Oryctolagus cuniculus: one gene and its partners. The protein of the gene in region 2 binds, or shares a complex with, the protein of the main gene of each other region. Links are inferred from orthologs where the notes say so. Each region holds a gene or a part of one and is shown on either strand. Other genes may lie near its edges. The genes, in order: RBM15B, METTL3, CBLL1, VIRMA and ZC3H13.

The links.
Region 1: METTL3 (region 2) and RBM15B share a complex: the UniProt entries of both Homo sapiens proteins name them as parts of the WMM complex. The link is inferred for Oryctolagus cuniculus from reciprocal best matches to the Homo sapiens genes METTL3 and RBM15B.
Region 3: METTL3 (region 2) and CBLL1 share a complex: the UniProt entries of both Homo sapiens proteins name them as parts of the WMM complex. The link is inferred for Oryctolagus cuniculus from reciprocal best matches to the Homo sapiens genes METTL3 and CBLL1.
Region 4: METTL3 (region 2) and VIRMA share a complex: the UniProt entries of both Homo sapiens proteins name them as parts of the WMM complex. The link is inferred for Oryctolagus cuniculus from reciprocal best matches to the Homo sapiens genes METTL3 and VIRMA.
Region 5: METTL3 (region 2) and ZC3H13 share a complex: the UniProt entries of both Homo sapiens proteins name them as parts of the WMM complex. The link is inferred for Oryctolagus cuniculus from reciprocal best matches to the Homo sapiens genes METTL3 and ZC3H13.

What each region holds. Positions count from the first base shown.
Region 1 is NC_091441.1:98,157,913-98,164,606, reverse strand, and holds the start of RBM15B (putative RNA-binding protein 15B), read left to right. Parts: upstream 1-2,541; 5' UTR 2,542-2,676; coding exon 2,677-5,370; 3' UTR 5,371-5,887; intron 5,888-6,406; exon of another isoform or gene 6,407-6,412; 3' UTR 6,413-6,694. UniProt on the Homo sapiens protein: RNA-binding protein that acts as a key regulator of N6-methyladenosine (m6A) methylation of RNAs, thereby regulating different processes, such as alternative splicing of mRNAs and X chromosome inactivation mediated by Xist RNA.
Region 2 is NC_091443.1:53,434,634-53,440,719, forward strand, and holds part of METTL3 (N6-adenosine-methyltransferase catalytic subunit), read left to right. Parts: intron 1-2,325; coding exon 2,326-2,543; intron 2,544-2,630; coding exon 2,631-3,035; intron 3,036-4,252; coding exon 4,253-4,428; intron 4,429-5,011; coding exon 5,012-5,228; intron 5,229-5,451; coding exon 5,452-5,639; intron 5,640-6,086. UniProt on the Homo sapiens protein: The METTL3-METTL14 heterodimer forms a N6-methyltransferase complex that methylates adenosine residues at the N(6) position of some RNAs and regulates various processes such as the circadian clock, differentiation of embryonic and hematopoietic stem cells, cortical neurogenesis, response to DNA damage, differentiation of T-cells and primary miRNA processing.
Region 3 is NC_091434.1:136,457,254-136,463,408, forward strand, and holds part of CBLL1 (E3 ubiquitin-protein ligase Hakai), read right to left. Parts: intron 3,884-6,155; coding exon 3,783-3,883; intron 3,354-3,782; coding exon 3,270-3,353; intron 1,679-3,269; coding exon 1,605-1,678; intron 1-1,604. UniProt on the Homo sapiens protein: E3 ubiquitin-protein ligase that mediates ubiquitination of several tyrosine-phosphorylated Src substrates, including CDH1, CTTN and DOK1. Targets CDH1 for endocytosis and degradation.
Region 4 is NC_091437.1:119,890,674-119,896,828, forward strand, and holds the end of VIRMA (protein virilizer homolog), read right to left. Parts: intron 5,029-6,155; coding exon 4,862-5,028; intron 4,433-4,861; coding exon 4,101-4,432; intron 3,291-4,100; coding exon 3,147-3,290; intron 1,304-3,146; coding exon 1,149-1,303; 3' UTR 963-1,148; downstream 1-962. UniProt on the Homo sapiens protein: Associated component of the WMM complex, a complex that mediates N6-methyladenosine (m6A) methylation of RNAs, a modification that plays a role in the efficiency of mRNA splicing and RNA processing.
Region 5 is NC_091440.1:65,047,552-65,053,706, forward strand, and holds part of ZC3H13 (zinc finger CCCH domain-containing protein 13), read right to left. Parts: intron 3,562-6,155; coding exon 3,370-3,561; intron 1-3,369. UniProt on the Homo sapiens protein: Associated component of the WMM complex, a complex that mediates N6-methyladenosine (m6A) methylation of RNAs, a modification that plays a role in the efficiency of mRNA splicing and RNA processing.

The DNA of each region.
Region 1 (6,694 bases), on a different chromosome or scaffold from region 2:
TACTGCACAGAGCCCCTGTGCTCCCAGCGTCAGGCCCCCTCTGCACGATGAGGCAGCAGCAGTGGCTGTGACTTTTTTGTTTGTTGTTTAAGAACTTGACTCTCCAGGGGCCTGTGTTTACCCATTGGCATCAGATGCCTGGTCTCAGAGAGAGCCTAGCATGGGGTGAGCTGGCTGCAGGTCACTCTGGCCCCAGGTGGTTATGGAGAATGAGTCCTGTCGTTCGGTCAGCGGCCTGCAGTTGCTGTTTTAGGGTGACACCTCAGGGCTGGGAGCCATGTCCCTTCAACACTGCCTTGTCTGGAAGCGTCTCTTCTCGCTGCAGCCGGCAGAGCTGATTGTTCTGAGGTGGTTCAGCCATGCAGGGGTTGACGCATCTTGGGACCACTGGGGGCTGTGGCTGCTCCCACCCAGCCATCACTCTCACTCCTCTCTCCAGACAAGCAGATCGACCTGAGCACAGTGGACCTCAAGAAGCTCCGAGTGAAAGAGCTGAAGAAGATCCTGGACGACTGGGGGGAGACGTGCAAAGGCTGCGCAGAAAAGTCCGACTACATCCGCAAGATCAATGAACTCATGCCTAAATACGCCCCCAAGGCGGCCAGCGCACGGACGGACTTGTAGTCGGCCTGACCCCTCCGCAGCGGAGAGGGGAGAAGCAGCTCAGCTGTCTCCCCAAAATCGCCTTTTTGTAATTTATTTTTTAAGTGGGCTCCTGACAACATCAGGTGCGAAGCCTGGAGCTTTCCGTGACGCCAGCTCTGCTAGTGCCCCTGGGGGGATTTACTCCCTTCTGTTGCTGGTTTACTCTAGGACTTCAACATGTGTCTGGGATTTTTTTATTAAAGGAGAAAACAGTTCCAGCTGTCTTTGGACAATTAACATGAATACTGAAACAGGGTTTTGCCGCATGAGAAGGATCTTAATGCATTATGCTTTGTATTTTGCCATTTGTCCCTCAACTCACCTATGCCAGAAGTAGCAGGGCAGGACATGGGTTAGAACCAGCTGTGGTATAAGGCTTCAAACCAGAGTCTGGGGAGAAGGTTGGGCTTGGTACCCTGCGCCCTGATGCACTGTCCCCAAACAGGAGGCTTCCCGGCTGCTGGGCATGGAGCGCTGAGTTGAGGGTGCGTGGGAGGGTCTTCCATGGGACTGGCCACGGCAGAAGGAAGCTCTGTGGAATGTGGTTTTCCACAGTGGTGCCCTCACTGCGTTCAGTACTGAAAGCTCTAAAAGATGTTCTTGGCCGTGGTGTGCGGCCTGGTGTCAGTCCCACGCCTCTGATCGAGATTCCTGCCAGCTTCCCCAGGAGGCGGTCAGAGGGCTGCCTCTCCTGTTTAGAGGAATCCAGTTGAGGGCCCGCGGGCTTGTCTGACAGCCCTCTGGTGTCGCTTGGGAAAGCCAGTTGTCCGTGAGCTCTGGCTGCTCCGCTGTCCTGCAGAGACCAGCTGAAAGGAAGCAGTCACGGTGCTGCCCGAGTAGCTGAGCTCAGCTCCTCGTTGGTGTGCCCGTAAGGGATCTTCCAGCCTGCCGGGGAGCCCGCTGCTCCCTCTTAGCAAGATCTTTGCTTTTGGACCTGCCAGGCTGCAGCAGGAGAAGCGGGCTGGATGCGCTGCCCATCCCGTGCTCCCTGTGCCCGAAGTGGGGTCAGGTCCGGCAGTGGCTCCGGCAGCCGACCTTGGAGGACGAAAGCGGCCGATGGGCCCTGGCACACGGGCGCCCTTGCCCTCGCAACGCCTGGGGAGAAAAGGTCCTATCCTTGGGGGTGCACAGGGGAGCACGGCAAGCTGTGGCAACTGCTGGCACCGTCCCGGCCTTCCCAGCCTGCTGTGTGCCGGGATGCCCGCACCAGTGTGGCAGTTCTGCGTTGCGGGTCTAACTGCTCCTGAGCCTGCACCCCGCCAGGTCTCACCTGCGTGCGTGTGCCTGGTGCGTGATCCTCGTGGTCTTCCCAGGGACTGCTACAGGTGAACCTGAACACGGAGGACACTCGGGAGCTGGGCGTGGGACGTGTACAGGGCCCAAGGATTGGCATGGCTGTCAACGCTGGACCCCAGCCAGGGGACTGCAGAGGGGGATGGGGATCGCTGCAGCCGAGGACCGGGTGAAAACAACACTGGGGCCAAGGCCCCAGACGCCGGCACTGATGCTGCGTAGACGAAAGCTACCATTCCTGTGCCAAGCAGCGCGGACCCTGGCGCCGGCAGAAGACTGCCGGGCCCTGGCCACGAAGCTCCTCTGGGCTCACGGGGTCGAGGACCAGCCCCGCGCGCTGCAGTCTGAGGCGGCGCGAGCCGACCCGGCTCTGGAGAGCGCTCCCATCGCTCCCCGCGACGCCCCGAAAGCCTCAGCCGGCGTGGCCGCGTGGTGGCGCCCGGGCGCACCTCCGCCGGCCCCGGAGTCACGTGGCACGGGGCGGCGCATCCGGATGACGCACCCCGGCGCAGCGCTCGCCCCGCCCGCCTCAGTCACGTGGGCCGGCCGGCGCCACTTGATAACGCGGCGCCCGGGCCCTCGGCGCCGCTGCCGCCCCGCCCCGCCGCCACAGCCGCGCCGATTCCTTTTGTCCAAGATGGCGGCGCCGGGGGCGCTGCCTCCTGGGCCGCCGCCGCCGCCGCCGTCACTGTGAGGAGCCTGCGGCCCGCCCGCCCGCCCGCCCGCCGCGCCGGCGCCATGAAGCGGCAGAGCGACCGAGACTCCAGCCCTAGCGGACGCGGCTCCTCGTCGTCGGCAAAGCGGCCGCGGGAGCGCGAACGGGAAGCGGAGGCGGGCGGGCGGCGGGCGGCGCACAAGGCCTCCGGCGGCGCCAAGCACCCGGTGCCGGCGCGGACCCGCGACAAGCCCCGCGGGAGTGGCAGCGGGGGCGGGCATCGCGACGGCCGCGGCGCGGGGGACGCGAACCACCGCGCGAGCGGCGGCCGCTCCTCGGTCTCCGGCGCCGGCGGCGGGGGACGCGGCGGCAAGGCCTCGGGGGACCCGGGCGCCTCCGGCGCGTCGCCCCGCGCGTCTCCGCTGCCGCCGCCGCCTCCGCCCCCGCCGCCGCCGCCGCCGCCCGGGGCTGAGCCCGCAGGCCCCGGCTCGTTGGCGAGCGCGCCGGAGTACAAGACGCTGCTCATCAGCAGCCTGAGCCCCGCGCTGCCCGCCGAGCACCTCGAGGACCGCCTCTTCCACCAGTTCAAGCGCTTCGGGGAGATCAGCCTGCGCCTGTCGCACACGCCGGAGCTCGGGCGCGTGGCCTACGTGAACTTCCGGCACCCGCAGGACGCGCGCGAGGCCCGCCAGCACGCCCTGGCCCGGCAGCTGCTGCTCTACGACCGCCCGCTCAAGGTAGAGCCCGTGTACCTTCGCGGCGGCGGGAGCAGCCGGCGGAGCAGCAGCAGCAGCGCCGCCGCCTCCACGCCGCCGCCAGGGCCCCCCGCGCCCGCCGACCCGCTCGGCTACCTGCCGCTGCACGGAGGCTACCAGTACAAGCAGCGCTCGCTGTCCCCGGTGGCCGCCCCGCCCCTGCGGGAGCCCCGCGCGCGCCACGCCGCCGCCGCCTTCGCGCTGGATGCTGCGGCCGCCGCCGCCGCCGTGGGGCTGTCCCGGGAGCGGGCGCTGGACTACTACGGGCTGTACGACGACCGCGGGCGCCCCTACGGCTACCCGGCCGTGTGCGAGGAGGACCTGATGCCGGAGGACGACCAGCGGGCCACTCGCAACCTCTTCATCGGGAACCTGGACCACAGCGTGTCCGAGGTGGAGCTGCGCCGCGCCTTCGAGAAGTACGGCATCATCGAGGAGGTGGTCATCAAGCGGCCCGCCCGCGGCCAAGGCGGCGCCTACGCCTTCCTCAAGTTCCAGAACCTGGACATGGCCCACAGGGCCAAGGTGGCCATGTCCGGGCGGGTGATCGGCCGCAACCCCATCAAGATAGGCTATGGCAAGGCCAACCCCACCACTCGCCTCTGGGTGGGCGGCCTGGGACCCAACACGTCGCTGGCGGCTCTGGCCCGGGAGTTTGACCGCTTCGGGAGCATTCGGACCATCGATCACGTCAAAGGAGACAGCTTTGCGTACATCCAGTACGAGAGCCTGGACGCGGCGCAGGCCGCCTGCGCTAAGATGAGGGGCTTTCCCCTGGGCGGGCCGGACCGCAGGCTCCGCGTGGACTTCGCCAAAGCAGAGGAGACTCGGTACCCCCAGCAGTACCAGCCCTCGCCGCTGCCTGTGCACTACGAGCTGCTCACGGACGGGTACACCCGGCACCGAAACCTGGACGCCGACCTGCGCGTGCGGGATAGGACCCCTCCGCACCTCCTCTACTCCGACCGAGACCGGGCCTTTCTGGAAGGGGACTGGACCAGCCCCGGGAAAGGCCCTGACCGCAGGAACAGCTTGGAGGGCTACAGCCGCTCTGTGCGCAGCCGGAGTGGTGAGCGCTGGGGGGCCGATGGGGACCGCGGCCTGGCCAAGCCCTGGGAAGAAAGGCGGAAGCGGAGGAGCCTTTCCAGTGACCGTGGCCGGACAGCCCACTCCCCTTACGAGGAGCGGAGCAGGACCAAGGGTGGCGGGCAGCCCTCTGAGCGGGGCTCCGACCGGACCCCTGAGCGCAGCCGCAAGGAGAATCACTCGAGCGACGGGAGCAGGGAGGCGAGCGGCAACTCCCTGAGCAACAGCAGGCACGGGGCGGAGGAGCGGGGCCACCACCACCACCACCACCACGAGGCGCCGGACCCCTCCCACGGCAAGAAGACGAGAGACGGCGAGCGCAATCATCGGACCTCGGAGGCGGAGCCCAAGCCCCCGGAAGAGCCGAAACAGGAGCCCAAAAAGCTGAAGAGTCTGTCGGAGTATGCGCAGACGCTGCAGCTGGGTTGGAATGGGCTGCTGGTGCTGAAGAACAGCTGCTTCCCGACGTCCATGCACGTGCTCGAGGGGGACCAGGGCGTCATCAGCGGCCTCCTCAAAGACCACACTTCGGGGAGCAAGCTGACCCAGCTGAAGATCGCCCAGCGCCTTCGACTGGACCAGCCCAAGCTCGACGAGGTCACACGGCGCATCAAACAGGGGAGCCCCAACGGCTATGCGGTGCTCCTAGCCACCCAGGCCGCCCCCACTGGGCCTGGCACCGAGGGGGTGCCCACCGTGGAGCCAGGCCTGCAGAGGCGGCTTCTCAGGAACCTGGTCTCCTACTTGAAACAGAAGCAGGCTGCGGGGGTCATCAGCCTGCCGGTGGGCGGGTCCAAAGGCAGAGACAGCACGGGCATGCTCTACGCCTTCCCGCCCTGCGCCTTCTCCCAGCAGTACCTCCAGTCAGCACTAAGGACACTGGGCAAGCTCGAAGAAGAACACATGGTGATAGTTATAGTCAGAGACACTGCTTAGCCCAAACCTGGCTTTTCCAGGAAGCTCCCTGTTTGTGTCACAAAAGCGGTTATTTTAAAATCCCCTCCCTGCCCTGCCCTCTGGGTTTGAATTCCCTGCTGGGTTATTTTATTTGGCCGGGATCCAAGTCCTGTCCACCACTAAAACGAAGTTCTTAGGTTTCTGAGGATTTTTTGGTTTTTGTTTTTTTTACAGTGATGAGAAGGGACGGTTATGTTCATTTCTGATGTATGAGATGCTGTCTGCTGTGTTCTGTATTTTTTTTATTTTTTTGACTGTGGAAAGTTGTCAGTAAAGCCTTTGTCAGAGGATGCATTTTTAACCCTGTTGAGAGTCCTGGTTTAATCAAGTTTTCTCTTAAAGAGTGGAAGACTTGCCCAGTGCATGCACACAAATGCCCTGTGCCATCTTGCGAGCACCACCGCACCCAGAAGTCCTGCTGCAGCAGTGGCTCCCCGCCCTCAGCTCAGCGCGCGGGGCTGAGTCAGGACTGGGCTCTGGACCCAGCTGCACTGGCGTGAGTAGAGCCCATGCACATGCAGGCGGCAAGCTTAAGTCCTGGCCAACAGCCACTGGCAGTTTTGGGCTTTTTGTTTTCCTGCCTGTCCTAAATGCTGTGCGTGTCCATCAGTTTCAACTGGGGCTGCTGGACAGCGTGCCCAATGCTAATGCCAGTTTGCCAGTGGGAGTCTTCAGATGTGGGGGGGTCTCGTAGCTGGGGGAGGGGCAGTGTAACCATGCCAAGTGGTCCTGGTGCCACTGACCTGTCCAGCCACCCTCTGATTCAGCCCAGGGATAGCCAGCCATTGGGGGAGGGGGGAGGAGGTGGACTTCCTTGGTTAATTCCTGGACTTCACGGACGGTTCTTAGTTTTGGCTCTTCCTTTGGTTGTCAGGGCTGATGTGTTAACAGAGTGGGCCTGTGCTGTTCACCTAGAGCTTGTGGGGGGACACCGGTGCCCTGGCCTGAAGCTGCGGGAGAGTGCAGTGGGCTAGGGAGATGCCCTTGGTATCTGAAGTGGTTTCCTTTTTCCCAGGTGCAGTGGAGGAGCTGTGCCTGGACCTCTTGCCCCGGTGCTGAGAAGGTGGGGACCACTGAGAAAAAGGTACTTCTCGGGGGGGAAATGAGGTCACAGCAGGTGAGGTGTTGGCCGTGCTCGAGTTTGAAACCATTTAAGCCAGGCAAGGGAGGAAATGGCCATGCAGGCATCTTCTGGTTCCGGGTAGGAAGAAAGGCGGCTTACAGGTCTCAAAATTCTGCCTTGTCCGTCTCTAATAAGGTAGCGTGGCCATGGCTGAAAAACCAGAGGCCAGCGGTGTCAGGG
Region 2 (6,086 bases):
TACCATAGACTTCAGTTACTGGAAGTATCTTGTCAGTTATTTCAAAAACAGGATTGGAAGTCTGATTACAGGCATATCATTTATATGTATGTTTTTGAAAAACCTTGTTTTCTGAAAAAGCATGCGTTAAAAATAGCAGCGGGGCAGGCCTTTGGCTCAGTGGTTAAGACACTGCTTGGGCTGCCTGTGCCCCTTACCGGAGTGCCTGATTCGGAATCCTGGCTGGAGTCCCAGCTTCACTCCCATTCCAGCTTCCTACTTATATACACCTTGGGAAGCAGCAGGTGCTAGCTCAGGTGGATGTGTCCCTGTCATCCATGTGGGAGACCCAGATTGAGTTTCTGGCTCCTGGCTTCTGCCTGGTCCAGCCTGGGCTGCTGTAAATATTTTACTCTAGTTATACCACAGGAGTATTCTGGTTCAAATTTATTACACTTGTGGGATTTCTGAATCGTAAGAGATTGTAATAGTCACAGTCTAGCTTGATGTGGGAATTTTGTTTATGGTCTTCCAAGTACGATAAATAGTAATTGTCCCTTATATTTCTTACATATTTTTAGCTGAGGGAGTTACTCTAAAACTCCTCATCCAGACCCCCTTAGTGATTCCATGACCTGTGCATACATCATCTTTTATTTTTTTAAATAAAAAAATTTTTTGAGAAGTAGAGACAGACAGCAAACAGCCACCTGCTGGGGTAATGGCTAGTGCAGGCCAGGCCTAAGACAGGAGCCCAGTCTAAGTCTCCCATATTTGTAGTAGGGAGTAGTATCTGAGCCATCATCTGCTGCCTCCCCGGGCACAGATTAGCAGGTAGCTTGAATTGGGAGCAGAGCCAGGACTTGAACTCAGGCACTCGGACATGGGTTGTGGATGTGCCAACTAGTGTCTTACTTCTCCAAATGCTTGCCCTACCACACCTCTTTGACTAAGCGAAACACACGACTGTTATCAGTTGAGCTGGTGAAAGAGTATCTCCTTAAGATTTAGCAGATCGGGGCTGGCACTGTGGTGGAGTGGGTAAAGCCGCCACCTGCAGTGCCGACATCCTGTATGGGCACTGGGAGTCCCAGCTGCTCCACTTCTGATCCAGCTCTCTGCTATGGCCTGGGAAAGCAGTAGAAGATGGCACCCGCATGGGAGATTCTGAAGCAGCTCCTGGCTCCTGACTTTGGCTCGGCGCAGCTCCGGCTGTTGTGGCCATTTAGGGAGTCAACCTCTCTCTCTCTTTCTCTCTCTCTCTATCTCTCTCTCTCTGTAACTCTACCTTTCAAATTAAAAATTAGTTTAAAGAAGAAAGATTTAGCAGATCATAAAGGAATCATAAGTAAATGAAGTAAAGAAAGCTTTGTCAATTACTTAACATTTCCAGCTAGTCTGGAATTGTGGAGTTTGTTTTCTCAATAGGGTACAGTGAGTATTTTTTGTATAAGTATTAAAATTTTATAGTAAAATGTTTGGTGTAGTTCAGCTCCATTTTCTTGGAAAACTGAGTCAGATTTTACAAATTCAGCCAGTAAACTGGAAATTACTAAGGAACCACAATATTTGTAAATGTAAAACAAATGGCCAACTTGTATGTTATATTTTTATTTAACAATTCCTGGCCAGGTACTAGGAGTTTAATTTATTATCTGTATAATAGCTAAATAAACACAGATACTAGGCTTGCTCAAAGGTAACCTTTTATTCTGAGTTTCTTAAATCTTATTAAAGTTGTGAAGGCTCCCAGCTTGTAAAGTGATAGAATAGATGAGAGACCTGTAGAAGGAAACATCCTCTGGTGACCAAAGCTTCAACAAGCTGTTACAAGATGTTTTGTGCTTAGGAGTATCAAAGGGCACGTATTTCTACCCCTGACACTGTCATTTTGTGTGCTGTCTGTTGGCCAGTGGCCTTGTGGCCTTGATAATTCAAACTCCATGCCTGAAAAAGATACTTATTACAGCTTAGGTTGTTGAAAAATACTTCTGGCTTTTATTAAAATGTAGGTTGGTAATGTCACTTCTAAGAGTGAGTGAAAGGAGGTGGTAGGGACATTGACATCTGCTATGTGGATTTATTTCCTCTGAAACACAGCAAAGACTAGGAATTGGGAAACAGCAGAGAGGGTATGTTGTTCCCAGAAAACCATGTTCCCTCCTGGTAAAGCAGTGAACACTGAGTACAACTAAAGAAAGACAGTCCAGTGTTCAAGTTGGTCATGGACTTTCCTTCATGACAAGAAAGGGGTGTGTGCTGGGAACGCCAGAGAATTTGGCTTCTGAGGAATATGTAGACCAACAGTGATTGCTCTTTTTCACTTTCGTTTCTCTTTACTCTTAGATCTAAGGAATCCAGAGGCAGCACTGTCCCCAACCTTCCGTAGTGACAGCCCTGTGCCTGCTGCACCCACCTCTGGTGGCTCCAAGTCTAGCACAACTTCAGCAATTCCTGAATTAGCTACAGATCCTGAATTAGAGAAGAAGCTGCTGCATCATCTCTCTGATCTGACCTTAACACTGCCCACTGATGCTGTATCCATCCGTCTTGCCATCTCCACGGTAATGACTGGGTAGACTAGGGGTCTACCACTAATTTTCAGTTCATGGTCAGTTTCTTACTGAGTTACCCTCCCCTCTTATCTCTAGCCAGATGCCCCTGCCACTCAAGATGGAGTGGAAAGCCTCCTGCAGAAGTTTGCAGCCCAGGAGTTGATTGAGGTAAAGCGAGGTCTCCTACAAGATGATGCACATCCCACTCTTGTGACCTATGCTGACCATTCCAAGCTGTCTGCCATGATGGGAGCCGTGGCAGAAAAGAAAGGCCCTGGGGAGGGAGCAGGGACTATTGCAGGGCAGAAGCGGCGTGCAGAACAGGACTCAACAACAGCAGCTGCCTTTGCTAGCTCTTTAGCCTCTGGACTGGCCTCTTCGGCATCGGAAGCAGCCAAGGAGCCAGCCAAGAAATCAAGGAAACATGCTGCCTCAGATGTTGATCTGGAGATAGAGAGCCTTCTGAACCAGCAGTCCACTAAGGAACAACAGAGCAAGAAGGTAGGGCTCACATGGAAATACCCTCACAGTATGCTTTGAATTATACCTGTGATTGAGAAGGATTTACTGTTAATGCAAGATTTTTAAAATTCAGGGTTTAGAGCAGGAGTTCCTAAGTGGAAATATTTTTGCACTACTACTGTACCCCACCAAGGACTCTGGCAATGTTTAGCGGCTTTTTTTGTTTGTTTGTTTTGTTGTTAAGATTGATTTATTTATGTGAAAGGCAGAGTCACAGATCTTCCATCTGCTGGCTCACTCCCCAAATGGCTGCAACAGCTGGAGCAGGAGTGGTCTGATGCTAGGAGCCTGGAGCTTCCTCCAGGTCTCCCACACAGGTACAGGGGCCCAAACACTTGGGCCATCCTTCACTGCCTTCCCAGGCACAGTAGCAGAGAACTGGATTGGAAGTGGAGCAGCTGAGATTTGAACCTCCCGGTTCCCATATGGGATGCTGGTATCTTAGGTGGTAGCTTAACCCGCTACACCACAATGCCATCTCTCAAGACTTTTTTTGTCCGAACATGAGGGAGTGCTACTTGTATTTAGTGGTTAGAATACAGGGATGCTGTTGATGTCCTAGTATATTGTATAATACAGCAACGCTCCCTGTCCTTGAGCTGTCTGGCCCAAAACTTAAGAGAATCTTTCCTTGAATTTGTTTGGAATAATCCTCAGATCAAGAGGATACAAATGCAGAAATACAGAAAGATCAATTGAGAGGAATACTGAAGACAAGTCATATGGATTGGTAGTCCTGGAAGTTGATGACTGAACAATGTGAATTAGCCTTGTAATGGTTCTGAGTGTAACTGTTGGACCACATGAATTCTCAGCCTTTTGCCACTTTTAATTCTGAGTTCAAACAGGTTAATAATGGGAGGATAACCAGAGTGCCCTCCTTACAGAATTAAGCTGAATAGTAGTGTTAGTAGTGTGCCTTTGTTCATTACACAGTAAGCATAAGTGGTTTTTGTGGGAAGGAATGCTTTCCTGGGGAGGGAAGATTAACTTACTGCTTAACAGTAAGTTAAATCATTTAGTATTTTAATTCCATCCCGAAAGGAGATTTTGATCTGGAAATAGAGAAATCTTTTATCTTAGGGCTGCAGTTTTCCCATATTGTTAGTTCATATGTCAAACAGAATTTATAGAGGTGGATTAAGAGATAACTTGATCTACAAACCCTTTTAAGCCCAAGGCTGCTTCTGTCACAGGTCAGTCAGGAGATCCTAGAGCTGTTAAATACTACAACAGCCAAGGAACAGTCCATTGTTGAAAAGTTTCGCTCACGAGGTCGGGCCCAAGTGCAAGAATTCTGTGACTATGGAACCAAGGAAGAGTGCATGAAAGCCAGTGATGCCGATCGACCCTGTCGCAAGCTGCACTTCAGGTCTCTTGGGAAGGAATGAAGTGGGATGGGTTTTCAAGAAGCAGTCGTTCCTTTGTCAGTGGGGCTCTTGTCTTTAACCCCATCATTCAACTCATGCTTTATCCAAGTCCTCCAGACTTTGAATGTGTACTTTTAGAGGTGGCTTTGTGTGTGAAGGCATACAGGCTGTACTCCCAAACAGGTGTGAGATTTTTCCAAGTGCCCCTTTGTAGCAACAAGGCATGTGTCTTTGAACCACAATGAAAGTTTAAGGTTCCCTGGAAGGAGGAGGATCTTAGGACACAGAGGCTGATTAGGTCAGTGTTTTATTCTACTCTAACCAATCAAGTCCTTCCTGCCCAGAATTCCTTTCTGTGGTGAGAAAAGATAGCCAAGTCTTTGCTTAGGGAGGAATTAGGATAATTTAGTGTTAATTATGGACACCATGCTTCCTGTCTCATAAAACTGCTGGAGGAAGTTCTAATGAGAGAAAAAATTAAGGAAGGGTAACAAAAGGGCTTTTTGAAACCATTTGGAACTTGAACTGTGGGACTTTCCTCCATGGCACCATCTTGATTCTGATTCTCCTTTTTTATTTCCCCAGACGAATTATCAATAAACACACTGATGAGTCTTTAGGTGACTGTTCTTTCCTGAACACGTGTTTCCACATGGATACCTGCAAATATGTTCACTATGAAATTGATGCTTGCATGGATTCTGAGGCTCCTGGCAGCAAAGACCATACACCAAGCCAGGAACTTGCTCTTACACAGAGTGTTGGAGGTGACTCTAGTGCAGATCGACTCTTCCCACCTCAGGTACCTGACTGTTCAGAAAACTCTTCTTACAGACTTATATAAGTCTGAGTAAGGCAGCCGTGCATGTAGGAAAACAGGCATAATTCAGCATTCTTTCTTGCTGATTGGGAATGGAGTGGGATAGGCTTAATAAGGGAATAGGAAAATGAAATGGAAAAGAGGGACTGGGGCCATGAATCTGAGAGTGAAGCAAGGGAAGATGACCAAATACCACCTCATGCAGTGGATCTGTTGTGATATCCGCTACCTGGACGTCAGTATCTTGGGCAAGTTTGCAGTTGTGATGGCTGACCCACCCTGGGATATTCACATGGAGCTGCCCTATGGGACCCTGACAGATGATGAGATGCGCAGGCTCAACATACCAGTACTGCAGGATGATGGCTTTCTCTTCCTCTGGGTCACAGGCAGGTAATGCGGTTCAAAGATACATAGGTATGGGCAGATATGCAAGAGCCTTCCAAAAGTTCATGGAAAAATGGAATTAAAAGATGCTTACTTTGGTGCAGAAAAAATGTGAAGGCCATGCATGCATGGTTCTTTCATAGTATACATTTCCATGAACTCTCTGAAGACCCTTTGTAATAAAGTAAGCACTGGGTGGGAGATAAAAGCCTGGGTTTTCCTAGCTCCTATTAAAGTATGACAGCTCAGCCTTTTTCCTCCCCTACTGAGCCCAGATACTTGTTTATAGCATGAACGATACTTTGAATTATATCTAACTCTTCATTTGCTCATTATGAAACAGTAAGGTCATTGAAGATACTATGTTTATCTTTTTATTCTTAGATATACTCTGTTGCCCTGATAGTGTTTTGCATGTCAGTGTTCACTGAAAAGATGTTTCTAACACAACAG
Region 3 (6,155 bases), on a different chromosome or scaffold from region 2:
CCAGCTCATAATGATTATATTACAAACTAAACTGTTTTTAAAAAGATGGGGGCAGCCACTAAGTTGGCAGGTACTAATGCCATCTTACATATTAAAATGATATTCTGTAACTAATCATATAGATAGGATTGTCAAAGGGGTCACATAAATAAGACCAAATGTCTGCTAATAATAATAGATAGAATTAAAAAGAAGAGAATGATCCAATATTGGAATCAGGTCACACAGTGGACTCATAGAATGACAAATGCCCTAAATAACTCTCTCCTCAGAATCAGCCCTTAAGGCATTCAGATCTGGCTGAAAAGCTCCATGAGAACATTTCAGGCATAGAAAGCCAAGACACCGTGGCAAAAAATGATCTACACGAAGGATCTCTGTGAGATCCCAGTGGAAAGAAGGGGCCATCAAAGAAGGAGTACTTTTCTCTGAAAGGAGGAGAGAACTTCCATTTTGCTTATGGCCCTGTCTAAATACTGACAGAGTTTGTGGACTCAAAAGGCTTCCATAGCCTTGGCAGTTCATGACAAGAGCCTCAGGTGATTGCTGACATCATAAATAAGAGTGTCAATTGTTAAATCAACAACAGGAGTCACTGTGCACTTGCTCCCCATGTAGGAACTCTGTCCTTAATGAGCTGTACTATGAGAATGAATGGTAAAACTTGTCTTCAAACAGTACTTTATACTTTTGTGTGTCTGTGTGGGTGCAAACTGTTGAAATTTTTACTTAGAGTTGGTCTTCTGGATATAAAGATAATTAAAAATAAATCTTAATGGGGGCCAGCATTGTGGCACAGTACGTTAGTCCTCCACCTGCGGCGCCAGCATCCCTTATGGGCACCAGTTCTAGTCCTGGCTGCTCCTCTTCCAATCGAGCTCTCTGCTATAGCCTGGGAAAGCAGTGGAAGATGACCCAAATGCTTGGGACCCTGCACCCGCGTAGGAGACCCGAAAGAAGCTCCTGGCTTCGGATCGGCACAGCTCCGGCCGTTGTGGCCATTTGGGGAGTGAACCAACGGAAGGAAGACCTTTCTCTGTCTCTCCCTCTCACTGTCTGTAACTCTACCTCTCAAATGAATAAATAAAATCTTTAAAGTAAATAAATAAATCTTAATGAAGAATGGGATGGGAGAGGGAGTAGGAGGTGGAACGGTTTAGGGGTGGGAAGGCAGCTACAGGGGGAGGAACCACTATATTCCAAAATCTATACCTATTTAATTTATATTTATTAAATAAAAGCTCTCTTTAAAAAAAAAAAAAAAAAAAGATGGGAGTAGGTGTTTGGTCTAGCAAGTAAGATGCCAGTTAAGACAACTGCTTGCAATGCCTACATTCTGTACTGGAGTGCCTGGGTTTGAGTCCTGACTCTGCCCCCAGATACAGCTTCCTGCTAGTGTACACCCTGGAAGGCAGCAGGTGAAGTAGCTGCCCCTGTCATCTACACAGGAGACCTGGACTGAATTCCAAGCTATCAGCTTTGGCCTCAGCCTCAGTCACTGGAGGCATTCTGAAAGGGAACTAGTAGATGGGAGCTCTGTCTCAGAAAGACAGAAAGGAGAAAGAAACGTTTTTATAAAGAAATAATAAAAATTATCTTCTTACCCTGGACACATCTTATCTCCCTTTTTTTCATGTAAAATAGCACAGTCATAACAAAAAACATGCTTGCATGGAATCTGCAAACAAAGACATTATAATTAAGCATACTAGAACAACTTAGATTTTATTTCCACACAAAAGATCAATAAGCATAATCACCTACAGCTAGAAGGCACTGAGCTTTTAAAAAGAACATTTATTAAGTGCTACTTATTCAAAAGTAAAAATTAATCTTTGGCCTCCTTCCTAATAAATGAATACAATGTACACTTGTCTTTGGGAGCAACTTACCCTGTAAGTTTCACCATTGATCCCTATCCTATACGTTAAAAGCTCCTGACAACAACATTATAATCATGTTTAACCTTACCCTATTTCTCCTGAAACTATTCTAAAGAGGTAAAAATAACTAGTATCTCCTATATTTAACTAGCATTTCTTCCTGGCTTAGATTAGTGAACTCAAAAAAATCTAACAATCAGATCACAGTAAAATGATGCAAGAACCACACTGTAAAGCCAACAGCCCATTATTGTTACTTTGCTATGATACAGAGCAAAGCAATAGTGCATAATCCGTGCCCTCTATCATCACAGATATGAGTACAACAGAATCCAATCTTTTTTTCAAACACAAATGCAAAGCTATCTTTTTAGAGCGAGGACATGATAAAGTTACTATAAAATTACAGTTAGGGGTGTAAAAATATTTTTTAATAATCAGAATTCAATTTTTAGAAATTAAAAATATTATTTATGTATTTTATATAAAAAATAGTGAACTTCAGAAATGAATAACTAATGTTATTCTAGTCTGTTAAAAAAAATCAGAGGCCAGGGGCCAGTGCCGTAGCACGGTAGGTTAATCCTCCACGTGCAGCGCCAACATCCCACACGGGCGCCAGTTGGAGTTCTGGCTGCTCCTCTTCCAGTCCAGCTCTCTGCTGTGGCCTGGAAAGGCAGTGGAGGATGGCCCAAGTGCTTGGACCCCTGCACCCGCATGGGGAACCCAGAAGAAGCACCTGGCTCCTGGCTTCAGATTGGCACAGCTCCAGCCATTGCGGGAACCAACGGAAGGAAGACCTTTCTGTCTCCCTCTCACTGTCTGTAACCCTACCTCTCAAATAAATAAATAAAATTAAAAAAAAAAAATTGGAGGCCAGAGCTGTGACACAACAGGCTAAGCCTCCACCTGCAGTGCCAGCATCCCATACGGGCACCAGTTTGTGTCCTGGCTGCTCCTCTTCCAATCCAGCTCTCTGCTATGGCCTGGGAAAGCAGCAGCAGAAGGCCGAAGTGCTTGGGCCCCTGCACCCACGTGGGAGAACCAGAAGATGCTCCTGGCTCCTGGCTTCAGATTGTTCCAGCTCCAGCTGTTTTGGTCACTGGGGGAGTGAACCAGCAGATGAGGATTTTTCTGTCTCTCCCTCTCTTTCAAATTAATAAATAAAATCTTAAAAAAAATCTTTCCTTAAAAAAGTATAATAAATATAAACTGGTGTCACGCATACCAAGTACTTCTCTTAGCTAGTTCATATTTATTTAAATTAAAATGTCACAAACTCAGTCATTAGATAATGATTAACTGTATCTACTTAATACATTTCAGAATTCTACCTGGACACAAATGCACGCATTTACAAACAGTATTTAATTTAATTATGCTTACCATTCGTCCATAGATTTTAATAGGTAATCCACACTTGTCACAGAAGTGAACTGGTGTATCATCCTTTTCACCTAAGATGTTTATCTGTTGAAATGACATAATTAAATTCCCTTAATCCTAAAAACTGCATCTATAACACAATGCTAAACACTCTATCAATAGTAAATGGTTGGTACTTTATAAAAGTTGTTAAAAACAACTAGAAATAAAGGTTTCTTGGTATAATCCCCACATATTCACCAGCATTAGCTGTGCCACCGTTAGTTTACATTTTTAAATAGTTAAGAGTTATCAATCACATTTGACCTCACTGAAAATGATTTCAAATTATTTTTGGGAATAGTCAAAGTAGGGCACTCATTATAAACAAATGATGTTTGTGTTAAAAGTCATAACATTAACAAAAGCTTGTAAAAGATACCCCTTATATATTCTACACTGTTCTAATACCACATTTTAAGTACTTAATACCAATTTTATTGGTCTAATGAAAGTTTTCGTTTTTAATCGTACCTGAAAGTCCCAAAAAAGGTGTCCAGGAAACCTTCGCTGATTTCCAAACAGTTCACCCCCTTTACAGTCATACCGTTCCTCTTCATTATAATCAAATCCTTCTGAGAAAACAAAATGTTACTCATTAACTTCAAACCTCAAATTTCATTTGAGAAGTATACACACAGGACAAAGTAGGCCTATTCACTGGAAAGCCCACCTGATGACTTTCAAAGCTCCTCTAAGAACAAAATAATGAAGACTAGTTTAAAATATCAACTAGAAGTAAAACTGGTGATTACCTGACCAACTCTAATACTTCATAATTGAGACTATTACAGTATGGAGATCCACAATAATGTAACATATTAAGGTCAGCAGCAGGACCAGGAACAGATCTCAGATCTCTTGACACCTATTCAAGTGCTTCTATCAATTCAACAGACTATCTTTAGTCTAAAACCTCAAGATTACCATTATCATCATTTGTTGCACAAAATTTTAATGACATTGACCATCACTTATTCTAATCTATCTACAAATATGGTATGCTGCAAGAGACTGATTTTATTGTAAAAATAATGAAAACAAAGAATTCTGCGGATTTTCTTATTACTTAGTAAATTATACTTTCCCTTCACCTCTAATCTGAGCATGATTTTGGAACATCAACAAATTCATTCTTCACCCTTTCATTTTAAAACTTCTTCCTGGTTAATCCCCAATCAGCAGGAGCCATATGATATTTACAAGTATCCTGTCCTACACTGCATATATCAACATTAATAAACTTAAGACCAGTTGAAGATCAAGTTGGCTCAATTTCTCTGGTCTCATTAAAAAGTTGGTGGCAATTTTCTCATTTTACACAAAAGAACAGAAAACCGGTGAACAGTCTGATGAGAATTCTAGGTAGAATCCAATTACCTAAAGTAAAGCTGAGAAGACAAATATATCTCTCCAAGGTGCCAGGCTTGTCACGACTCTTTTGGCCCTAGAACTGGTAAACAGAGTAGCCAAAGCACACAGCTTCAACTTTACCCACATGGCTAACTTACAGTACCTGTGCAGGTAGATAGACACACACACACAGACAATAGTGATGCAAGAATTTTTTGAAGTTGATAAGAGATATTCCAATATACTGCTATTTAACTACTTCCAATATAGATGTACAGTTCAAAGTAAAGTTGATCTTATAAATTACACCTGAGTGTACCTACAGTCTTATATGGCCCATTCCTTATCAAAGGTGGTGTCATCCACAATTCAAAGTAAGAAAAATTGTCAATTCTTCAAATGCAGAAAATTATGGAGATCAACAGCCAAATAAATGAAGAGCACATTATAATTTTTCAGAGTAGTTCAACCTGTATTCTTCTCATTAAACTAAATATCCATAGAGATGTACTAACACCCAAAACTCCATATTTTGATCAATCCCTAGGGAAAAAAATAATTTTCTTTTACTCCAAACAGGTTAAGTCTAAAGTATTCAATGATTGTCTTCAGCCTCAAGTTGCTCTATTAAGAGAGAAAGGAGTAAGAGTAGTTCCCTCTAAAAAAAAGCCATGACCCTGAGAAGAGGAGGAAAACAACTTAGAGAAAAGAGGTAGCAGGGAGAATTTTTAGCTTTTCCTGCATTACAAGAATGTACTTGTACATCACTATAAGTTCATGAAAATACTTTGAAAGACCAGAAAACAGACTTTAATACTTTTAGAACTTTAATATACAATAATGGTGGGTTTTCTATGCAGCAAGGAAAAGATTATTCAATGATTGGGACAATGACAAGCTGTTTTGGAGGAAAAAACAGAAAGCCAGATCCCACTTTTGGCTTTTTTAAATAACCACATACGTATTCTTAAAAGATCCAAAGCAGAGGTCAGCAAATTCTTCTGTAAAAAGCCAGGCAATAAATCCTCTCAGCTCTGTGAGCCACATGGTCCATAACCACAAACACTCAGCTCTACCACTACTGTATGAGAGCAGCCACAGACAATACTGAAATGAATGGGCATGGCTGTTTTGCAATAAAACTTTATAAAAACAGGACCAGATTTGCCCCACAGGTCATAGTTTGTACTGACAGATGAGAGGAAAACCAGTTTATATGCACAGAATAGGGGAAGGCCTTTCTAAAACTGTCATAAATCCAGGAAGTCATAACAACAAACACTGGATATCTGACTGCATAGAATGTTTAACCTCTCTACAATAAAAAATTTATAGACAAAATTCAAAAGGCAAATGGGGAATATACACAATATATTAAAAAGGGTCAATTTCATTAATTTAAAAAGAACTCAAAAATCAAGAGAAACAGCCAAACAGAAAAATGGGGAAAGGATATGAACAGAAAGATCCTAAGCAAAAGACCAATATTATGAA
Region 4 (6,155 bases), on a different chromosome or scaffold from region 2:
CTTAAATCAGAATACTTGGAGCTAACCTTTTTAAAGATATTTTCCAAATAAACAGAAACTTCTTACATACTCACAAATAGTTCCCCAAAACAGAAAGTGATAAAGGAGAGAATGAGACTCATACACTTCTTTTTTAAGAGAAGTCTGTATTTATGCCAATTATATAAGCTCGATGTATTAGACAGACCCTTGGGAAAATATGGCTACTTTCTCAAATTATAAGTTTCATTTCTATATAAAGTCCAGCTTCATTAGATGTTTCTGGTTCCCAAAATAACAGGATATGCCTTATTGTGGGCTTGAAATAACTGTATAATAAAAAATAGCATCAGCAGGTCCAAAGCTAAAAAAACGAAGTCTGTACTTCCTTCTAATATAAAGGGGAAGAGGGTTTTATCTCCTTTCATACAGCCACGGTTCCCAAACTGTGTACCAGGGTACCATAGTAAATTAACATGGTTGCCAGACAGTAGTTGACATTTTTGAGGGAAACAGCCACACCCACTGGACACCACACAAACTACTAGTTTGAGGTAGTTTACATTTTCAACATCAGATAGCACTATATTGCTTTACATCAAAGTTTATCTTTGTAAAACTGAGTTTTTCACAGTTTGATAAAAAGTACTTTGCAAGAAGCATAGTGCAGTAGGAAATTAATGATATTGATTCCAAGATCTGAGACATTATGCAGTGTCCACATTTACTATGATGATGATGTAAATTCTTAAGTTGCTTGGACCTAGCTACTTGACAAACAGAAGTATTAGGTATTTCTTTTGGCCTAGATGTGCTGTGAAAAAAATTACTGAGTCACTAAAGCGTGCCAGAGCAGAGTAAATTTGGGAACATCTGTTGTATAGGCAAGAAAAATACAAAACAAGTCATTTAGTTATTCTCTTTCTACCTAGAAATTTTCTAAATAAATAGTTGTATAAAAAGGGGAAAAATATATACAAACATACATACAAAGTTTGGATTTTTATTGAAATCATGTTAGGTATCAAACAAAACCTGCTTTCTTCAGATAAAAATATTCTCTCAGATGTTTCCAGATAACTGTTAAGTCTAAGTTGGTCCTTCAATGTCTTATTTTTAGCGTCCTCGTGAAATGTTCATATGTATTTCGGAAACTCCCAAAAGTACTTTTATCGTGTAAAGGACCGTACGTGACGACCTCTACCACTGCCTCCACTAACAAACTTTCCTCTGGAGCCTCCACTGCCGCTATTTGCACTAGCCCAGGAAGGTCCGAGTCCCCCACGACCTCTGGAAGCACGGTCCCGAGGACTTGGGCGGTAACCTATAAAAGAAACAATACAGATTTTAGTTCCATGTCCTTTGCATTCTCACTTTATAAATACCTACTAATGTATGGCACTGAGTTCAAACCAAGAATGACTGTTTGTTCTTTTATTTATTTATTTTTAAAGAGTTTAATTATTTGAGTGGCAGAGTCACAAAGTAAAATAGAAAGAGAGAGAAGGAGACACAGAGAGAAAGGTCCTCCATCCGCTGGTTCACTCCTCAAATGGCCACAATGGCCAGAACTGGGGTGATCTAAAGCCAGGAGCCAGGAGCCTCTTCCAGGTCTATCATGTAGATGGAGGAGTCCAAGCACTTGGTCATCCTCCATTGCTTTCCCAGGCCATAAGCAGAGAGCTGGATCAGAAGAGGAGCAGCCGGGACATGAATCGGCACCCATATGGGATGCCAGCACCACAGGTGAAAGCTTAGCCTATTATGCCACAGTGCTGGCCCATGTTTGTTCTTTTAATACTCATGTGCAGGAGCTGGTGCTGTGGTACAGCAGGTAACACCGCTGCCCTCAACACCATCCTTCCATGTGGACACTGGTTTGTGTCTCGGCTGCTCCACTTCCAATCCAGCTCCCTGCTAATAACCTAGGAAAATAGTGTAAGATGGCTTAGGAGCCTGGGCCCTTACTGCTCATGGAGACCCAGAAAAAGCTCCTGGCTCCAGGTTTTGCATGGTTCAACCCTAGCTATTGTGGCCATTTAGGGAGTAACCAGCGGGTAGAAGATATCCATCTCTCCCTCTCTCTCTGTAACTCTTTCAAATAAACAATCCTTAAATATGTACATGGGACATTCATTCAAAGATATAAAATTAACCTTAGAATTTTAAGTCTAGGGGGCTGGCGCCGTGGCTCACTTGGTTAATTCTCTGCCTGCCCATATGGGCACTGGGTTCTAGTCCCAGTTGCTCCTCTTCCAGTCCAGCTCTCTGCTGTGGCCTGGGAAGGCAGTGGAGGATGGCCCAAGTGCTTGGGCCCCTGCATCCACATGGGAGACCAGGAGGAAGCACCAGGCTCCTGGCTTCGGATCAGCCTAGCTCTGGCCATAGCAACCATTTGGGGGGTGAACCAAAGGAAGGAAGACCTTTCTCTCTGTCTCTCTTTCACTAACTCTGTCAAATAAATTAAAAATAATAATAATAATAACTTTAAGTCTATATTCTAAAGAAGGCGAGCAGAATGTCTGGATAAGGCCTGTGAAATCATGAGGTCTGGCCCTGCTAAGGCCGTCACAGGTGGGCTCAAAATTCAATAAATCTACAGCAGGCTAATTTCTAAGTTGGTAATTCTGCATGGCCTACAAATGATATTATAAATATCCAAATGGCCCTTGGCAGAAAACAGGTTCCCCAACCCTGTTCCAAAGTATTCTCTCCTGGAAGAGCCTATAGCACTCAACATTTTGAAAAGGAGGAGGGGCCAGCGCTGTGGGGCAGTGGGTTAACGGCCTGGCCTGAAGCGCCGGCATCCCATATAGGCGCCGGTTTGAGACTTGGCTGCTCCACTTCTGATCTAGCTTTCTGTTATGGCCTGGGAAAGCAGTAGAAGATGGCCCGAGTCTTTGGGCTCCTGCACCCGCGTGGGACACCCGGAGGAAGCTCCTGGCTCCTGGCTTTGGATCGGCGCAACTCTGGCCGTTGCAGCCATCTGGGAAGTGAACCAGCGGATGGAAGACCTCTCTCTCTCTCTCCCTGCCTCTCCTCTCTCTGTGTAACTCTGACTTTCAAATGAATAAATAACTCTTAAAAAAAAAAAAAAAAAAAAAAGAAAAGAAAAGGAGGAACTCCCTTCGCTTCTCTGAGCAGTGTCAAGTAGAGAGGACACATACCTGTAGAACTAAGTGGTCGCAATGGCGGAAGCGGGCCCCTGTTAAAATTACTCTGGCCTCCTCGACTTTCATTGTAATTCCCTCGAGGAGTATTCTGAGCACTCCAACTGGAGCCTCTGGTGCCCTCCCGACGACTGTAGTTTCCTAAACACAAACAACAAGATCAAAATCTAATATTGCCAGAATTTTGTGTTAAGGAAGATTTGGCAGGTTTTTCTTAATCTTAAAAAAGTAACGGAAGAAAAACGAAAATCTTGTAAACTGAATATACTACTAAGAAGCAAAAATCACACAGCGGTTAACAGCAGAGGCTCTAAAGCAGACTGCCAGGTTCAAATATCGGTCCTGTCACTTCCAGTTTTGTGTCCTGGTCAGCTGAATCACAGTTTATCTTCAGTAAAGAAGGAGTACTAATGCGACCTACCTTGTGGGGTTAATGTGAGCGTACCATATCTGCATTACTTGTAACACTTCCCGACACACCTATGTAAGCGTTTGTTATTAATGCCAAATTCATATTCTCTTTCACTGTCACCTTTCGAGCTCATCAATCCACTAGTAAAAGCATAGTTTCTTTAACTATATCAAATAGTCTCAAAATCTTCAAACAACTTAAAACAGACTGAATATAACAGTAAGAAGCAAGGTGATAAAGGAATCAATTATGAACTACACAAATAATCTTAAGGAAATTGTTGAGAAGTACAAATGTGAAAATGGTATTTACATAAAAAATAATAAAATTCTCAATGTTAAAAGGAAAATAATTACCTGTGACATCTTTTAAATTCCCAGTAAAAGTATACCTTATCAGAAGTTAACCCAAAAAGTATGTGTGGTTTTTTTTTTCCTACCCACCAGAGTACTCTGCAAATAGTGCAAATACTTTATCTCAATCTCCTCAGTCACTTCACTCAATATTTTAATATGCTAGCCTATTAGAAATGCAGTTACCTTTTGAAGCAGGTGGTGTGAAAAATCGATTCTGACTGTGAAAAGCACCACGTCCTCCTCGATTGCCTGAAAACCCACCACGAGAAGAAATCTTCTGGGAAACTTTAAGTGGCCGTTTGGGTGGGGGTATTCCATCTTGAGGGACCACTTCTTTACTTTCAGCTGCGACAAAGTCATCCACGTGCATAGATGGTGGTCTGCTTGTGTTCTGTTTCCTCTGACGAAAAATATCATGGGGTCGTATACCCTGTCCAAATCCTCCCCTGCCCCTTCCTCTTGGTGGTGGCACAACATGAGCTCGTTTGGCAGGTTCTATGTATTCAGATTTTCCACTATTAAAACAAAAATACTCCATTAGAAAATTTCCGTTTCTTCATATTTCCAGTGAAAATACAATAAATAGTGAATCTGGATTTCAATTTTTTCTTATTCTAATTCCATTAATTTTGCAAGTATATATATTACTTCCCAGCATACTTCCCAGCATAATACAACACACTAGCTAAGAATGGTACTCATATTTTATTGATATCACTAAAAGTTTTACAATAATCCAGTTTACTTCTTATTCATACCTTTTAAGTGCTCACAAAGAACAATATTACTAATGTACTGGCTAAGTCCTGGCCAAATTATTATCTTTAAAACTAATACAAACAATATTAATGATTCAAATGTTATGCAAATGATTCCATCTTAAATACAATGAAATAAAGCTTTATGTGATCATAATCAAGACCTTCAGTGGAATAAATTTTTACCTTGAAGTTATAAAGGTCTCATGCTTGTGCTTCCCAAGTTTGAATCCTTTAGTAGTCTTGGTTCTCCCTGGAGATGACGGTTCTGACAAAAATGAGCGCTCTAATTCTGAGTGCAAATCAAAGTCACTACAGCATTTTTCAGAGAGCTCGATTAAGTCAACCTTTACCTGTAGTCATAAAAATGAAACAAAAGACATCTTAAATTAACTACCAGTGTAACATCTGATCATGGAAATTCATATTCTTGGGGCTGGCACTGAAGCTTAGTGGGTAACGCCGCCATCTGTGATCTGTGATGCTGACATCCCACATGGGTGCCAGTTCGAGTCCTGATTGCTCCACTTCGAATCTAGTTCCCTGCTAATGCACCTGGGAAAGCAGTGGAAGATGGCCCAGCACTTGGCCCTTGCACCCATATGGGAGACCTGGATGGACCCCTGGCTCCTGGCTTTGGTTTGGACCAGCCCTGGCCATTGCAGCCATCTGCATCTGCCTTTCCTTCTCTGTAACTCTGCCTTTCCAATAAATAAATAAATCTTAAAAAAAAATTAAAATAAATGCACCTTAAATGTGAAACAAATCATTCTATCAGTTTTATTGTACATGATGAACACTAACTTTTTTTAATTTTTTTTTAAGATTTATTTATCTGAGAGGCAGAGTTACAGACATAGAGAGACAGAGAGAGGTTTTCCACTCACTGGCTCACTTTCCAAATGGCCACAGCGACCGGAGCTGCGCCGATCTGAAGCCAGGAGCCAGGAGCTCCCTCTGGGTCTCCCACACGGGTGCAGAAGCCCAAGCACTTAGGCTTTGTTCCACTGCTTTCCTAGGCCATAGCAGAGAGCCTGATCAGAAGTGGAACAGCCAGGACTCGAATTGCCTTGGTTGTTCCATTTCTAACCCAGCTCCCTGTTAAGGTACTTGGGAAGGGCAGTGAAGAATACCCCAAGTGTTAGGGCCCCTACTATCAATGTGGGAAGACTCAGATGGAGCGTCAGGCTCCTGGCTTCAGCCTGAACCAGCCCCAGCAATTGTAGACAACTGGGGGGTCAACCAGTGGATGGAAGATCTTTTTCTCTCTGTAACTCTACCTTTAATAAAAATAAATAAATCTTTAAATATAAAATAAAATAAACACATACAAAATCACTAACTAAACAGAAGTATAACAAGTATAAAAAAGTGTTAGTTTTGGATGCTATTAAGTGGGAAACTGGCCTAAAAATAATGTAGTACTACTGGTCCCCAAGTGGACTTCAAATACTTACATATAGTACATAAACAATTATAA
Region 5 (6,155 bases), on a different chromosome or scaffold from region 2:
GACAGCTTTGAAAGTAACTACTGAGGTTACAATCTAGGCTACTGTGATGTTTTAATTTTCATACTATCTAATAATGCATATCGGTTAATCAATAAAAGTCAGATAACAATATGGCCAACAGGCTGTTAAGTATAACAGCCAACATCAACTTATTAAGTAGAATACTTTTAGGATGTTTCTAGGGAAGGGATCAATATAGTAACTTGAAGTTCCCTTCCTTACCACTGTTGAAAATTTTAAGCATTTATTCAAAAGATACAGATAGAAAAGTTCATCGAATTTTAAAGCTAAAGTAAGACAGAACCGTTTCCAGTCCTTTCTCCTACTCTTCCTTCTTGAAGACATAGAAATTCTGGTCTAGAGGTTGACTTACTAAAGTCAGAGATGGTAGACCCATTAGTGCAACAAGATTAGAGATCAATTTTCTCAAATCTTTTTATTTTAGCTGAAACTACCTTAAATTTAAAATGGTTCTATGGCACCATAGTGGATTTCCAGAATGCTATTTACCCATGTTTTAGATTAACTGCACTTCCAGTTTGGGAGTCATACTAGAATCTCAATGGTTACAAAATAACGTGAAACACATTCAACACTGCAACTAACAGGAATACATTCTTCAAATTTCTGATTATTATAATAATATCAGGGAATAGTCTACTCTCCTGACTCTTTTAGCTCTATTTTCCTAAAAAGACAATGCTCCTTACTTCAAAGGAAAAAGGAAATAACAACACCACTTTAATATCTAAACTATCTCCCCTTTCCTTGCCTCAAAATATATTCTTCAAAGATGTGCTTTCTTCAGTTATTTCTTTATCTTATTGAATGACATATCTATTCATGAAAGCTGGCAATCTCTGAGTTATCTACTAAGTATCATCAATTTCACTCCCAAAATATTTATTTATTTATTTTCTTGTCCTCATCTCTTCAGTTAAAATATTAACTTAGATCTTGATCAGCTTTTAGATGCCTATGTCATCAACGGTTAAATTGCTGGGTATGTTTGTTTTCAGTCTTCCACTTGATTTTTAGTGTTTTTGATAAAAACTCCATTTCTTCCAGCTGCTTAAAGGCAGTTATCCTGTAGGCTCTGAAGGGATATTAAAATCAAAATTTCCAGTCTGATTTCCTAGGTCATTTACAATCTGGCCTTTGGTCTCTCATCAGTCCTGCCCCTCTTCTTTCCTTCCTTGCTAATTACATCATACTATTCCAATGTCATAACATAATTCATCACTCCTTCACTGTTTGGCTTTCTTTCAGCCCTGTGTGTTTGCACATGCGCACACTCTCCTTGAAAAGTGCTTCTTCATTGTTCCTATTCACAAACTTATGTATTTCCAGGCCCTCATTCAGATGTCACCTCTTTAGGCAGCTCTCTGGGAGTTCCTCAGAATTGTGTTTGCTCCTTTGTCTCCTCACAGTACTTTTATAGCAGCATTTATCATACTTCAGCTCTATCTGCACCACTATTAGACTATGGAAAACTAAAAGAAAGATTTAAACCCTCAAGCATAGAATAAGGTGCCCAGACACATCTCTACTCTCAACCTCTATCATTCTCCCTACTGTTTACCATCCCCTAGCCACATCAATCTTCTCTCAAATCCTAGACTTACTAGGCTTCTTTCTATCTCAAATAATTTGTACATAACCTTTCCTCTGCACAGAATGCTTTTACTCTCAATCTCTGTAAAGCTACCTTCTTCTCTTGCATTTACACCTCTGTGTAAATATCTCTTCAAATTTTCCATTCAAACGCTCAAGTAGATGCCTCTCTTATTCTTTATTCTATCTAGGTCCTTTGTTTTCTTGATAACAATAATCATTTCTCTTTTTATGGGGGGAAGTAGGAGGTGTTTCCTTTTCCATCAGTTTCTTTATAGAAACCCATGGACAAGAACTGTTGTACTCCAAGTACCTAGCAAAGTGCCTAGCATGGGTAGAATATATCACTAGCCTCAAAAATATATTGCTATATTTTGATCATTCAACTGATATTTACTGAAGTAGTTAAAGAGAACTAGATCCGTTGTCAGAAGACCTGAGTTTGAATCCAGTTCTGGAACTAACTTCAATTAAATCTAATTGTCTAAGCTGTGAAACATGGATTACTTTATAATACCTATACTTATTGGGATATTGTAAAAGTTAAGTCACAGAATATATGTAAAACAACTACTGAACTTCTCGGCACCTAGGTTGAATTAAATAGAGGAATAAAACCAAATGTTACTACCGAATTGAGGCATGAATTCAGAGAAACCTGTTCTAGGATAAGAAAATAGAAAAAAAGGAAGAAAAGTAATATACATACAACACACACACACACAAACACACACACACACATATATATACACATAAATAAAGCATTACCAGGATGCAGTATTAAAGAGAGATAAATCAAATGCTGGAAGAAATAATTTCAGATATTAACACTGAATAAACTTTACCCCTACTTATAACTGGGGAAGTCCTCACCTTTTTAAACCCAAATGCAGTTGGCTTACCTTAATGAACTTAACCCAACCGACTGTCCTATCTCTGATCTTCTCTATTCTCTCAAGTATATATGGTGTCTTAGAAACTTGGTTTTACTCCTATTACTACCCACATCAAGATATAGTTTTATCTTTTTGATTCAGCCCACACTAAAAGCATCAACATTCAATTTCCTGCTCCATCAAGTTTCATACTATTCAAAGTTCAGTATTATAGTGAATCTTACTTCAGAAATCAGCCAAGGTTAGAAAGACTTTGATAAGACTGATTTTAAATGTTTAAATACAGACAATACAAACTTTTCAAAGAAAATTCTTAGAATAAAGTGTTTCCTAGCAATCTTACTTCAAAAGTTACTTTTATAAGATTATCTAATAGATAAACAGAAAACTTTTAGCTTAACACATACAAGAATACAAAATTATATATTCTCAGGCCAGAATATGAGTAAAATGTTTCTCGAACAATCCCTAGCCTTGCTCTTCTCTGGTAGCCCATAAAATACTCTATTGTTCATGGCTAAAAAGAGAGTAGCCAGGATAATACTCATGAGAAGGCTTCCATTATTTCCTGAATTGCCTGGGATGGCATCTTGAAAGGGTTGTGAGCTACCCAGTTAGGATGGCAGACACACAGCAGGACAGCACAGTTCTTGTACTCTGCTGCTGGTAGTTACAGGTAGCTAGCTACTTACATAAACCTTCCTAAACTAATGAACAAAGAGTATAAGAGTTTCAATCAAACATTGTCATCAAGCTTAGTCTTAAAATATACTTTATATTAAAAAGCAAATTGGTAACTTTTAAAAAGCAATCCTCAATTTAATGTTGGTACTATTTAATAAAATTTTGTTTGACAAACCTCTTTCTCGGTTGTCACGCCGGTCTCTCTCTCCATGTCTTCTCTCAAAAGAAGAATCCCTTGCTTGATCTCTGTTGTCTCTTTCAGGGTATCTGTCTCTTTCAGGATAGCTACTTCGAGTTTCCCAGTTGTCATGATAGTTGCTATTACTACTGTGACTATCAATTTGAGAACCTCTTGTGCCTCGGCTTCCTAAACAAAGGATATTCATACAGTTGTTTAACACAGAACACTTTATTCAACAAGTTTCATCAGTCACAATCTTTCCTCCTAGAAAACACTAATTTGCTTTGGTATTCCAAGTGCGGTAATCACTGTTGAAAAGAATATTAAGCACCGCTGAGAACACACAGCTCTGCTATGACTGACTTGAGGAAGCTAAGTTCCAGTTTTCTCCATCTATAAAAAAAGTAATAATGGAATCGGAAAGCAAGAAGACTCATTTAAAATACCCCCAGAACAACAAAACAAAAATTTAAAAATGCTTCTTCATATCTCATCCACAGAAACCACATGAAAATAATGAGAAATATGGATATGTAGTATTGACTCAATCACAGTTTATACTGAAAGCACTCGAATATAGAATGACGAAAGTAATTTGGCAACATTAAATGTATCTAAACATTTTTATTAAAAGATGTGGGAAATTGGGGCCAGTGTGGTGGCATAGTGGGTAAAGTCACTGCCTGCAACGCCAGCGTCCCATGTGGGTGCCAGTTTGTGTCCTGGCCGCTTCACTTGCAATCCAGTTCTCTGTTGATGGCTTGTGGGGCAGAGGAGGATGGCACAGGTGTTTGGGCCTGTCACTCATGTGGGAGACCTGGATGAAGTTCCTGGCAATGACCTGGTCCAGCCCTGTCCACTCTGGCCATGTGGGGAGTGAATGAGCAGTTGGAAGGTATCTCTGTAACTCTTTCAAATAAATAAATAAATCTTAAAGAAAGAAAAAAAAAGATGTGAGAAATGAATGTTCATGGTAGCTTTATTTCTGCTAGCCAAAAACTGCAAAGTATTCAATTATCTTTCAATGGGTGAATGAATAAACAAATCATGATACATTTATATAACGGAGTCCTATGCAGCAGTAACAAGGAAGACTCTACTGATACATGCAACAACTTGGATGAACTTCAAGAAAATTATGCTGAATGAAAAAGCCCATCTCAGCAGTATACTTGCTGTATGATTCCACTTAGGAAACAGTCCTGAAATAACATAATCTTAAGATGCAGGACATATTAGAGATTGCCAGGGGTCTGTGATAGAAGAGGGGATGGATGTAGTAACACCAGCAAATCTTATGATGTTACAATTAAATATCTGATTGTAGGGCTAATACCAGGCTACATATGTGATAAAACTGCCTAGAGCTAAATACACATGCACACACAAAAAATATATATAACTGTAAAACCTGAATGAGATCTATAGAGTACAGCAGTGTTAATTTCTTGGTTTTGATGGCATACTCTAGATGTGTAAGATGTTATCACTGGGAAAGCAGAGAACAGTACACTGAGCTTCCTTGTACATTTCATTCCAATCTCCTATGAATCCTTAATTACTTGGAAAAAAAACTGTTCTCTTAAATTTCTGGAGTATGGGAGGTAAGGGTAAGGGGAAAGAAGCAAAACAGGGGCTGTCATAACCTAGGAAAGCCAGCAAAAATAAAGGCAAGAACTCTGGTGAACTCTGTCCTCAACCCCTTAAAGTTACTATAGATAAATCCTTATGAAGATGAATTCACTCCAAACTCAAAAAGAATACATGAGAAACCTACCCACCTACAGTAAGAATAGGAAGGTACATCTCCAAGGGTAAAAATAAAACCAAAAAACACCCCACCAAGAACTTATGTGTAATGGGCTTTGAGCCCTAAAATAATTATAGCATAATTCTAAGTACTGTAACGGGACACTTTAATAATGTAAATATCTCTAAAGAATATTGTAATAAAGATCAAGAAGAAGAAATTTAAGATTTCAAAAGATGACAAGAGATATGTTAGGAAAAGAGGCGCAATTGATGCTTCTTCACACCAAGGGCACTGCAAAGGTTAGGATAAGAGGTGCAGAATAGAGAGGAGGCAGTATACGAATCTACAGCCAAACCAAATTTATTCAGAGAAAATAAATTCATAGAGGTGGGTGACCAACTGCCAGTGTACACACTGACGGAACACGTGTCAGAAGGCCCGACCCAGGGGCTGGGCCTTCTTATATTTTAGGGGGTTAGGAATGGGGGTGAAGGTAGCAGGCAGCAGCAGGAGAACTCCTGGAACTGGTCTTTCAGGTGGCAGAGCAACTTGGCCTTTCAGGTGGCCATGCAGAGCTTGGGAACCTGGGAAAGAACATGGGGTGTGAGACCCGCCTGAGACTCAAGGGCAAGGAATACATTTCAATGTTTATCTTTTGGGCAATGAGCAAGAATAGCTGAGGCTTATGTCTTTGTTTCATCAAGGTATATACAGTTAACATGTAAGAACGAAAAGGTCAGGAGCCAGTGCTGTGGCATAGCAGCTAAGATTCATTCACTTAGATTAAAGGAGTGATGCATGGCTTAGGTTGATCCCACAGACCCCAGACCACAGGATTCAGAATTCAATGGTCACCTGTATAGTTGACATACTATTGCTAAGCTCCCTTTTGAGATACTTCACAGGAACCCCAGGCCCTGATCAAACAAATAGCCATCCTCCTGTGGACCACAGACAGACTGGAGTTCATATTGCCATCACAACATTCTCAGAAGAAAATGCGAGGCTGGCGCTGTGGCGTAGTAGG